3 linked regions of the Mus musculus genome follow. The protein of the gene in region 3 interacts with the protein of the main gene of each other region in a pairwise test. Links are inferred from orthologs where the notes say so. Each region holds a gene or a part of one and is shown on either strand. Other genes may lie near its edges.

The links. The genes of interacting proteins can lie anywhere in the genome.
Region 1: the proteins of Cep63 (region 3) and Ezh2 interact in binary tests that used the Homo sapiens proteins (3 or more experiments, as listed by UniProt). The two-hybrid records come from large-scale screens. The link is inferred for Mus musculus from reciprocal best matches to the Homo sapiens genes CEP63 and EZH2.
Region 2: the proteins of Cep63 (region 3) and Pcnx4 interact in a two-hybrid assay, tested with the Homo sapiens proteins (2 studies listed by BioGRID and IntAct). The link is inferred for Mus musculus from reciprocal best matches to the Homo sapiens genes CEP63 and PCNX4.

The regions. Positions count from the first base shown.
Region 1 is NC_000072.6:47,553,454-47,557,108, forward strand, and holds part of Ezh2 (histone-lysine N-methyltransferase EZH2), read right to left. Parts: intron 2,698-3,655; coding exon 2,577-2,697; intron 812-2,576; coding exon 671-811; intron 1-670. UniProt on the Homo sapiens protein: Polycomb group (PcG) protein. Catalytic subunit of the PRC2/EED-EZH2 complex, which methylates 'Lys-9' (H3K9me) and 'Lys-27' (H3K27me) of histone H3, leading to transcriptional repression of the affected target gene.
Region 2 is NC_000078.6:72,570,779-72,574,433, reverse strand, and holds part of Pcnx4 (pecanex-like protein 4), read right to left. Parts: intron 945-3,655; coding exon 1-944.
Region 3 is NC_000075.6:102,605,601-102,609,255, forward strand, and holds part of Cep63 (centrosomal protein of 63 kDa), read right to left. Parts: intron 1,840-3,655; coding exon 1,726-1,839; intron 1-1,725. UniProt on the Homo sapiens protein: Required for normal spindle assembly.

The sequences.
Region 1 (3,655 bases), on a different chromosome or scaffold from region 3:
AGACTGCTTTCTAGCAACAACTAACAAGTGTAGAGACAATAGCACAGCTCTCAGGTCAGACCTAGGTCATCAACTTGGGGCTCAGATTCTACTTTTTCCCAATATAGCTATCTTAAGTTTCTTAGCCTTTAACCTCCCTAAACCCATTTCCAATATATAATGGAGCTGATAATAATATATACATTGTAAAGCTGTGGAAGGATAAGCTGGTATATAAGTATATTAGTATACAACTTATATAAGATACATGATATTATTATAAAGATAATTATGATAATTGATCAGCAAAGTGCAAAAAAGGATTATGTCCTTTTCCTAGGCAAAGGAAACAAAGAAGCTCTAGTGGAGAATGAAATGCTGCAGAAAATATATTTGATCATACACTTAACAAAAAGGGGGTAGTTTAATTATACCCATACATGGGTGGCTTTTACATTATTTACATGTATTAATTAGATGGTGTATGTATGCCACCGTGTACTGATGTGAAGATCAGGGGCAACTCAGCAGAGTCAGTTCTTTTCTTCTATAGAGTGGGCTCCAGGGATCAAACTCGATTTATCAAGCTTGGTGGTAAGCACCTTTACCCACCGAGTCATCTTACCAGCCTGATAGGTTTTTTTTAAAAGAATTATATAAAGCTGAAACAAAAAACTAGTATTAAACATACCATCTCGATTATCCTCTAGATCTTTCTGTTTTTCTTCTCTTTCATCTGGATCATCTCCATCATCGTCATCATCATCATCATTATATTGACCAAGAGCATTTACCAACTCCACAAAAATTTCATCATTTATAAATCCACATTCTAAAAGCCAAATGTCAGAAACAGAGGGAAAAAGATAATGACAAGATTATGTATATGTTTTCTAATCTGGAAGAATAGTGAAGGCCTATCAGCACTGTAACCTAAGGGGCAGGTAAGGATAGTCAAGATCAATTTCACAGCCAGCAAAGAAAACAGCATTTACCTTCAACATCTGTTGCTTTCTCAGGAATCAACCCTCTCCAGCTGATCCAGGGTATATTACTCCCTTAATCCATAAGGACCTGTAGTTTTAGCTTCCTCCCAATCTGTGTCACTGACTGACCACTTCAAACCTGTTTTGCATTATGATATGACCACATCTCCGTTTGCTCAGATATCAAGAGAGCCTCCTGTTCAGAAACCTGAATCCAGGATTCTGTTAACTTAATTTCACGGGCTCTGGCTGCCCTGAGGAAGGCATTGTTGAGTAGAAAGCCTTTCTGAAGCACATGCCCCATAAACAGATCTTTAAACTTAGTTTTACTATTGAAAGCTTACCAAAAAACACACACTCTATTCCTATAAAATCTATGTGTTGTTTCTGCTGTAGTTTATAACCAGTTACTGATGATTACCAAGTGGCAAATAAGATCCTCAAATGGAAAAACTAAAGAAATACTAAAAATGTATGCCTTTAAGCCCAGACTAGCTCTTAAGATTTTTTATGAACTCTATTAAGAAACCCTTCTATGACAGTCTGAATGAAAATGATGTTATGGGCCCACAGGGAGTGGCATGATTAGGAAGTGTGGTAGCGTTGGGGTAGGTGTAGCCTTGCTAAAGGAAGTGTGTCAGTGGAGGCAGGCTTTGAGGTCTTAGGTGCTTAAGCCAGACCCAGTGGCTGTTGGGGTTAGCCTTGTGACCTGTGGATTCAGAACCTGAGTTCTATGCCCTGGTCCAGACTACAACCTGATCTTGGGGCATTGCAGTAACACAGGTACTGCAAAGAATACTCCCCAATAATAACTGATTGATCAATAAATGGCTGGGTTTATGACTGGGCATAGAAAAGGTAGGACTTATAACCAAGAAAGATTTCTAGAGAGACCCGGAGGAAGAAGGAAAAGATGAGAGAGAAGCTGGTCCTGAGGACACACATGGTACAGAGCAAGTTGAGTAAAATGCAAACTAAAGTACACGGGGCCTGTCGTTTGTATATAGAAGAGCTCAGAATCTGCCAAATATAGGATTACAGCCTGTAAATAAATATGAACTGTTTCTGTGTCAATTACTTGGGAATTACATGAACAAAAATGAGGCAGAAACCTCCAATAGATATTAAGGATTAAAGGGGGGCACAGCGACACCCCAGAAAATTTTTATTGATTAAGTGTAACTCTCTCTTCCTGCTGTCTGCCATCCAGATATAGAACTCTAGGCTCCTTCTCCAGCACCATACTTGCCTGCGGGCCACCACGCTTACTGCCACGATGATAATGGACTAAACTTTTTTGGGGGGGGTTTTTTTGGTTTTTTTTGTTTTGTTTTGTTTTTGTTTTTTCAAGACAGGGTTTCTCTGTATAGCCCTGGCTGTCCTGGAACTCACTTTGTAGACCAGGCTGGCCTTGAATTCAGAAATCCGCCTGCCTCTGCCTCCTGAGTGCTGGGATTAAAGGCGTGCGCCAACACCGCCCGGCTGGACTAAATAAACATCTCAACAGTTAGCAAGCCCCAATCAAATGCTTTCCTTTTTAAGAGCTGCCACTGTCATGGCAACAAGAAAACCCTCAGACCCTCAACTAAAGAGAATATACACATAGCTCACCTCTGTCACCATGCACTTTTCCATCATAATTTTTTATTAGTTCTTCAATGAAAGTGCCATCCTGATCCAGAACTTCATCCCCCATATAAGGAATGTTATGTAAAACAGTTTCGTCTTCCACCTGAGAGAGAGAGAGAGAGAGAGAGAGAGAGGGCGAGAGAGAGAGGGAGAGAGAGAGAGAGAGAGAGAAAGAAGGAAAAAGAGAAAAAGAAAGGAAGAAAGAAAGAAAAGTTAAAACCAGATGTATTCTAATTTTTAAACTAGACTTTAAGCATTTATTTAAAACTTGAAGGCCCGAGAGATGGCTCAGCAGGTAAAGACCATGCTTGACAACCAGAACTCAATCCCTGGGACCCATGTGGTAGGCAGAGAACTAACTCCCCACATGCTGTCCTCTGACCCCTATAATTTGTCATGATAAACACAAACACATACATACATACGTGTGTGTGTGTGTGTGTGTGTGTGTGTGTGTGTGTGTGTGTGTGTGTGTGTGTGTGTAGAGTTACATAGGACACATACACATAAAACTTAAAACTTAAGCCCTCGGTGTGAGACTTAAATGTGATACACTTGCCCAGCATTCTAAACACTGAGTTTAATTCCTGGTACCACACAAAAAAAGTTAATGAGATAACTAAAACCAGTATTTTCCATGAGTACTTGTCTTTATCCAGATCTGTAGAGAAAACTGTAACTACACTTAATCTAAGAAAGGAAACTGCTGCAGGTTACATGAGACCTCAAGTGTAAGACATTCCGATTGCAGATACTAAAATGGAAGGTACCTGTAATAGAACCGATGATATGTGGCTTATCCAAATAAACTACAAATACTCATCAACAAAGAGTTTGTAAAAAACTTTATTTGGTGATCTAACAATTAAAATATTTGATACAATAAGAATCTAGTGATACTCTGGAGATCTGAATGAGAAACACCCTCTATAGGCTTATGTATTTGAACAGTTGGTTCCTAGTTGGTAGCACCGTTTAGAAGGTTTAGCAAGTACAACCTTGCTTGGGGAAGTATGTCACTGGATAACATTTGAAGATTCCATGGCTCACTCAAGTCAGCA
Region 2 (3,655 bases), on a different chromosome or scaffold from region 3:
GGTAAGCCACCATTGTAGACTCTTACTAGCTGACCAGGGCTAGGCACTCCATTGTCTATTCCAAATAAACCAATATAACAAGCCATCACTGTATGGACATACAAGTCTTTTAAAGCTTTATCCTTTGCAATTTCCTCTAGAACACGTGACTTCTCTTCCGAGTGAAAGCATTCTAATTGCCTTAAAACAAATTGGTACCAGTCTTCTGGAAACAAGGCGCTCATCTCTAGGATCTTGGAACGGGGTGTGGAGTTAGACCTCCATTCCTCAGGTAAACTTAGCAAGCGAGACTGGGAACAACTAAACTCCACGAGAGGAATATATGCCACATCTTCTCGCTGTCCCTTGTCAACAGCAGGGAGTCCCAATATAACCGTCCTGTAAAGATCATTTTTGGGACCTGTGCCTGCAGAATGGTCATCTGGATTCTGAGAATCTACGGACCCTGGAATAGGTAACTTTGTACAAGGTAGATCTTTGGACTGAAGTTTTTCTTTTCTGTTTTTGATAGCTGGTTCATCATCAAAAATACTACCATCAGACCAGTCTGAATTTGCACTTTCAGAGTCTTCCAGGGACTCGGGGCATGGTGAGCTGTTCGCAGCCGGTGGCAGTGCTGGTGAGGCTTCTCCCGTATTTTCAGTTTTATTCTCCTGCGTGCTGGGCCTTTTAGAGCAGTGCTGAATAAGCACCCACACAAGTACCTTAATAAGATCATCTTTAAATTCCTTCAGGTTGTCAGGAGAATCAATTATGCCAGTCAGCACATTCCTGGCATCAGAATACAGTTTCACAGGCAAAACTGTACATGGCGTCAAGACATTCTCCAGGTGCTCATTAAGGGAGCACACTTGTGGGTGTTCTCGCTGAAAAGCACTTTCAAACACTTCATCAACTCTCTGGGCTTCAGCAGTGTGGCAGGATGTTTCCTGCAGTTCTAACCCCTAAGAGGAAAGAGAAACACTTGGGTTCACAAACATCTCTTACCCAGGGAACAGAAACCAGTCTCACGAGTGCCGTGGAAAATCATCACACAGATACAGAAAAAGACAACACAAACTCTAAGTCAAGAGCAGCTGCCACTTTAGGCCTCACGTCACCTAACACATTTGATGTTGGATAAAGAGAGTAAAAGGAAGGCTAATACAATTTTAAAAGAAATCATAGAAAATCCCACCAGAAGCTGGTTAAGACTTACTGTGCCATACTTTCATAAGATGATCTGCTGTTAATGATGAATCACACATTAAAAACTCTTAAGTCAGACTTGTGTGGGAGGAGGGGTAGCAAAATCAGAACTGTTAAGTGTGTTGCAATATTTCTGCATCCTTTTCATTCTACTTTATATGAGACCAAGAGAATCATTCTAGTGTATGGAAGTATCATAATTTATCAAATCATATTCCTACATTTATTTGATTACTGTCTGTCTCTACTAACTGCAACATAAGTTTCAGAAAGCACTATCTTTGGTCATGACTATATTCCCATGTCTAAGCCAGAGGAGATGCACAGGTAGGTGTTGAGTGACTGAGTATGCTCCTGTATCAGTTTTAGACACATGCTGACACGGTTCCACAGGCAAACCGGATGTGGCATCAAGACATTCCCCAGGTGCTCATTAAGGGAACTTGTCCCCAGTCTAGCTGTGCTGACAATTTCACTAGTAGTGAAGCAGTTCACTCTTCACTATCAGAGTTGGTAACTTACTTACATATAGCACAAAACCACTGGTGCCTTCCTGATCCACTTTAAGTGACTGCTCCACCACATGCCACACACACCCTCCACAGATCTCCTGTCTCCTCTGAGGTTCCTCTTATTTCACAGGAAAGATGACATCTAGAAGCTGAGTAAGGACAGAGTGCTCAACCCCCTGTGGGCATCTATGTACACCCACTTCTTTCGTAGCTTAGAGGGCATCAGCAAGAGAGACCAAAAGACTTCATGAGCCCGAGGCTAAGCAGGGCTGCTGCAAAACAGTGTCTTCTGGCCCCGATGGAGCTGCTGCGCTCAGGAAGCCACAGAGGCTGAAGTCGCCTGCACAAGCAGCCAGCATCCTAGTGTGCACAGGAGAGGGGAGGCCTCCCTCATGATGCCCCATCCCTAGTGCAGGAGCTTTTGGTAACTGATGGCTGCCTGGGAGGGAGAAACAGCTTCTTTAAGGATGTGGCCCACATAATTTATCAAGGCTCCAGCAGACGGCCCTGCACGCATGCACACTGAGCACACAGGAAGCACTGATGGGACTCAGAGCTATAACAAAACCAAGATGTGCTTTTGGTTGGAGATCTTGATGGGGGCTGGGGTAGAGCCTGGAAGGAGATAGAGGGTAAAGTGGGTGTGGTTTGACCTAACTACATTGTCTGCATTATGACATTACTCAGAGTTACAAAAAAATTTAGTAAATATGTTTATGAAGATTGAAATTTTAAACTTCAAAGTAATACAAATGTTAGCAAGTCCTAAGTCAGCTTGGTCAAAATAAATAGATCAATCAATAAAGGTTACTTCTAAATAGTGTGAAAAACATGAGAGACCATTAAAAGAATTTATGTCACTGGGTAACAGTAAACTGTATGATTTTAAAATGTAGTAAAATTTTAAAAAATACTCATGGCAGCCTGCATGCTCCTTCTCAGACTATCTGAGCAAGCTTTGGGTGAGTTATGAGTAATGGTATTTCACAGCAACCACCGGAGCAACCCTTAGGTTCTGATTTGGAAGGTCCAAAATCAGAAGGTCAGGCATTTCCACTTGCAGTTAATCCAAGCAGACGGAGGACTGAATTTTGAGAGTCACGGTCATAAAGGGACAGCACTTGGTCACTAGCACTTCCATGCAGTCTCCGTGAAGATGAAGGATGTACCTATTTACTATGGACTTGGGACGTTTTACTAAAGGTCCGCTCTGTGTTGAACACTATTAACGGGCTTTAGGTCACATTCTTGGATAAAAGCAGAGCTACGTTCCCTGTGACATTACATTAGTGAAGGACACACACAAAAAGCATTGTCGGCAAGGCAAGTGCTGCTGGGATGGGAGTGGGTGTAGCTTTAAACAATGGCTATAATGCCTGGAAAGAAAACACTTGAAGGTGATAAGCCACAGGATTGACTACCTGAAGGGAAAGGAAACAGCCAGTGGGCTAGAACAGGGGTTAAAGTAGCACAGAAGGTTCAAGAAGTAGCAGTAAGCCTTGGCTCTAAATGAAAGAAATCCACTCCCAATGTTGCTCCCCTTTAACACAGTTCCTCATGTTGTGGTGACCCCCAGGCATAAAACTATTTTCATTGCTACTTCATAAATGTCATTTTGTTACTGCTATGAACTGAAATGTAAATATATGATATGCAGGATATCTTTCACAGGATCCATGCGAAAGGGTTCAATTCTCCAAATTGGTCACAACCCACAGATTGAAAAACATCACACTATGGGGTTTTCAATAGGGTAGTGACATGACCTAACCTTATTTTTAAGATCATTTTGCTTATAATAGATTAAGAGGCTACTAAAATGATCTGGATAAAGGATGAAGACGAGTGGGGGTCAGAGGTAATGGAACAGACACAGTTACTGGACTAAGGGGTCTATAATGACTTTTGATCCAAGCAACCAGAATGACAGTTGTCTCTGACGACTGCTAGACTCT
Region 3 (3,655 bases):
GTTTTTTTGTTTTTTTTTTTTTCCCTAAAACAAGCATGGAGTATAAAACTCTAATAGCTGCATAGATGAATCCAAATACATGACTCAAAGTGCGTGAAGCTGTTTTTGAATCTTCTTCAATGTTAAAAATATGAAAGAGTTTTTTTCAGTTTTTTCTCATAACATTTACCCAGACTCTCGGATTTTCTGCTGTCCCACATATCAATTAAATGCAATTAGTCAAGCTTAACTGGATTCTGCCTCAAACAGCCACTGTGAAAGAGTAGTTTTTAGACAACTGGATAAAACTGCAGACTGAATACTAAGTTATATTACTATTATTTATCCTATTGATGTTACCCTATCATATTATAGGGATTTTAAGTCCTTGCCTGTTCAAAAATGAGTTGATGCCATGATTTGCTTTGTAACATTTTAATAGCAAAAAATAAAGAGTAAAAGTGTACCCAGTTTTAGCTTTCCAAGATGAAAGAAGTGGGCTGGATAAGAACGCCATAGGCTACTCTTCCAGAGTTCAATTCCCAGCATTCACCCTGTACCTCACACTGATCTATGCCTCCAGTCCAGAATCAATGCCCTGTTCGGGCACTGTGGCACTGTGTAACAGTGGTCACATATATACATCAAGGAAAAATACCAATACAAAGAAAATCAATCTTTTATTTTTTTAATGCCATGTCCCTCTTTAAAACAAAAAAGGAAGAAGTCTCAAAGAACAGCTGCACAAAACAATGTGCACATGTTGTCAACACTACTGCGCTCAGAAAGCCAGTCAGGGTGGCACAAGATTTAGCTCACTGGTACAGTATTCGCCAAGAATAAGTGAAGCCATGGGTTCAATACCACACGAAAAGAAGATGAGGTATAATTTCTGTTATGAATTTCTAATGCTCATTTACATACAAGATTGGCAAGATGATGACAATCATTAACACTAAGTAATGGGCACACAGAGATTTAATAAGTGTTTAGTAAAGATAACAACACAGCATTGATGGACACAAACTGAGTTAAAGGAAGCTTTCATTCTTGGTTAGTTTGCCAAGGAAAAAGAGAAAGACATTTATACCTAATACTTTTAACTAATCAGATAACTTTATGTTAAATAAAACTATGAGAAGGATTATTCAAATACCCTTAGTGGGCACAACAGATGTCAGTTCTTTCAAGGTATCTTATTCTATCTCTAGTTGACTGCCTGGTAAATAACAACTCCACTTTTACTAACAGTGAAGTTTGCATTATATGGAATTAACCACAATAGTAAATTGATAGCAGTGACTTAAAGATAATAGTCAATAAACATGAATAAAATGAGGATTGAATAAACAAAAACTCACCGGGCAGTGGTGGTGCACGCCTTTAATCCCAGCACTTGGGAGGCAGAGGCAGGCGGATTTCTGAGTTGGAGGCCAGCCTGGTCTACAAAGTGAGTTCCAGGACAGTCAGGGCTACACAGAGAAACCCTGTCTCGAAAAACCAAAAGGAAAGAAAGAAAGAAAGAGAGAGAGAGAGAGAGAAAGAAAAGAGAGAAAGAAAGAGAGAAAAAAGAAAGAAAAAACTGAAGTGTTTTAGAGTGTTTTAGATGCTGAAGAGGCTAAGCCACAAGTAGAGGAAGGCAGGCTTACCACACAAAGACTACAGAGAGAATCCAAGTAAGACAGAAAGAGCATGGCAGTAAGTCCGATTCGGTCAATAGCCATGCATCGGACAGCTTAAGCCTACCTGGATTATCTCCGACTGTTCAGCCAGAGCCTTCCTCTGTGCTTCCAGAGAAGATACCTGTTGCTGATAAATCAGACGCTGCTTCTCCCAGTCCAGAGACTTCTGTCGGAATTCCTGGGGAGGCAAGTGAAGTACTTAACATCTAAGTGCTCCCAGGCTGTGAGGCTTGCACAGCGCCCTGCTCCCTGGGCGCCCTTCTCTCAGCAGGAGCCCCATTACTCACGCTGCAAAGGAGGACTGGATCCTGCTCACACTGTGCCTCTACATGTCTGTCTTTCTAAATGTAACACTTAGTGGTGAAGAGGAAGAAACGGCCATGACAGTGGGCTCAAGAGCATTATTGCAGATCTGCTGCCACCTATGGGCTGTTACCATTTTGTATTTTTAGAAAAGTGACGCTAAAATAATAATATTCCCTTTGCCATCTAAATTTCTAACATTCAGACCCAGAAACTGAATAGATTGGAACAGATTTCTAAACCAGTAACTCAGCAGCCTGATTCTCACTTCCTATCCTGCCAATAATAGTATCTTTGATAGTCAAAATTTTTTATTTCGTAGAATTGCAAAAGCTTGAATAATATGGAAAATATGCATCACATTTTATCAGGTACTTATAATCCAGAGTCAAATAATTCAAAAATAATAGGTAATCAACAGCAATTTCAAACTCTACGTCATGAAAATGGGCCCAACTTTTCTGAAAATAAAGCAACTCAAAGGGAAAGATCCTCAGCCTCCCCATCTTTGTCCGCCAGGGATCTCGAGCTCCAGAGCTCCTTAGCTAAGTGAGAAGTCAGCTTTCTGATAGTCCCTTCACTCACAGTCTGTCTGTCTATATGACATGTGCCAGCACTGACTCAGGAATAGCATTTAATAAGAATAAACTGAAACCCAGCCCCATTCAAGTGGAGGTGATAGACATGACATGCACACTGAATGAATGAATGAATGAATGAATGAATGAATGAGTAAGAACGTTCAATGAAATCAAACAACATAAACAGACTTTTGAAGGAATTCAACAAGGAAGCCAACAAGCATCTGCATGAAGTAAGAAGTCAATACAGGCTATGAATGAGGCATTCAATAGAGACAGAAATACTGAAAAAAATCAAATGGAAATTTTGTAAATAAAAATCTCATTGAGTCAACTAAAAGCTCAATGGAAAGCCTCTCCAAATAGAAAGCAGAGTTTCAGGGCCTAAAGACAAGGTATATGAATTAGAACATGAAGACAATGACAAAGGTAATAAGAAAATATGAAGGGAAATGACAAGATCCACAGGACATTGTTAAAAGGCCCAATCTAAGAGCTACTAAGATGACACGGTATGTGAACAATGCTTGGCATGTAAGCATATAGGCCAGCTCACTAGAGAATTCTAGGCATGGCAGCAGACATCTGAAATTCCAGTGCTGAGGAGGTAGTGACAGAAGAATCAGGGGCTGGAGAGATGGCTCAGTGGTTAATAACACTGACTGCTCTTCCAGATGTGCTAGAAGAGCAGTCAGTGTTATTCCACATCTGTAATGGAGTTGGATGCCCTCATCTGGTATGTCTGAAGAGAGTAACAGTGTACTCACATATATAAAATAAATAAATAAATCTTAACAAAACAAACAAACAAAGGATCAATCTATTTGTTACTTGCAAGAAACATACCTTACAGGTAAAGACAAATATTGCCTTAGAGGGAAAGAACAGATCATCCACTATGACCAAACACGTAACATTACAATGATACAAGGATGGTTCAACATACATATTAATGTTATCAAATTATGATATATACTATATATTAGCAAATATCATTTATCATATTAATAGAACAGAAATCACATGATCCTCTTAGTTAATGCGGAAAAGACTTCTGATATAATCCAATAGCCTTGAAAAAACTAACAATAAAGTTAGTTCATATCTCCA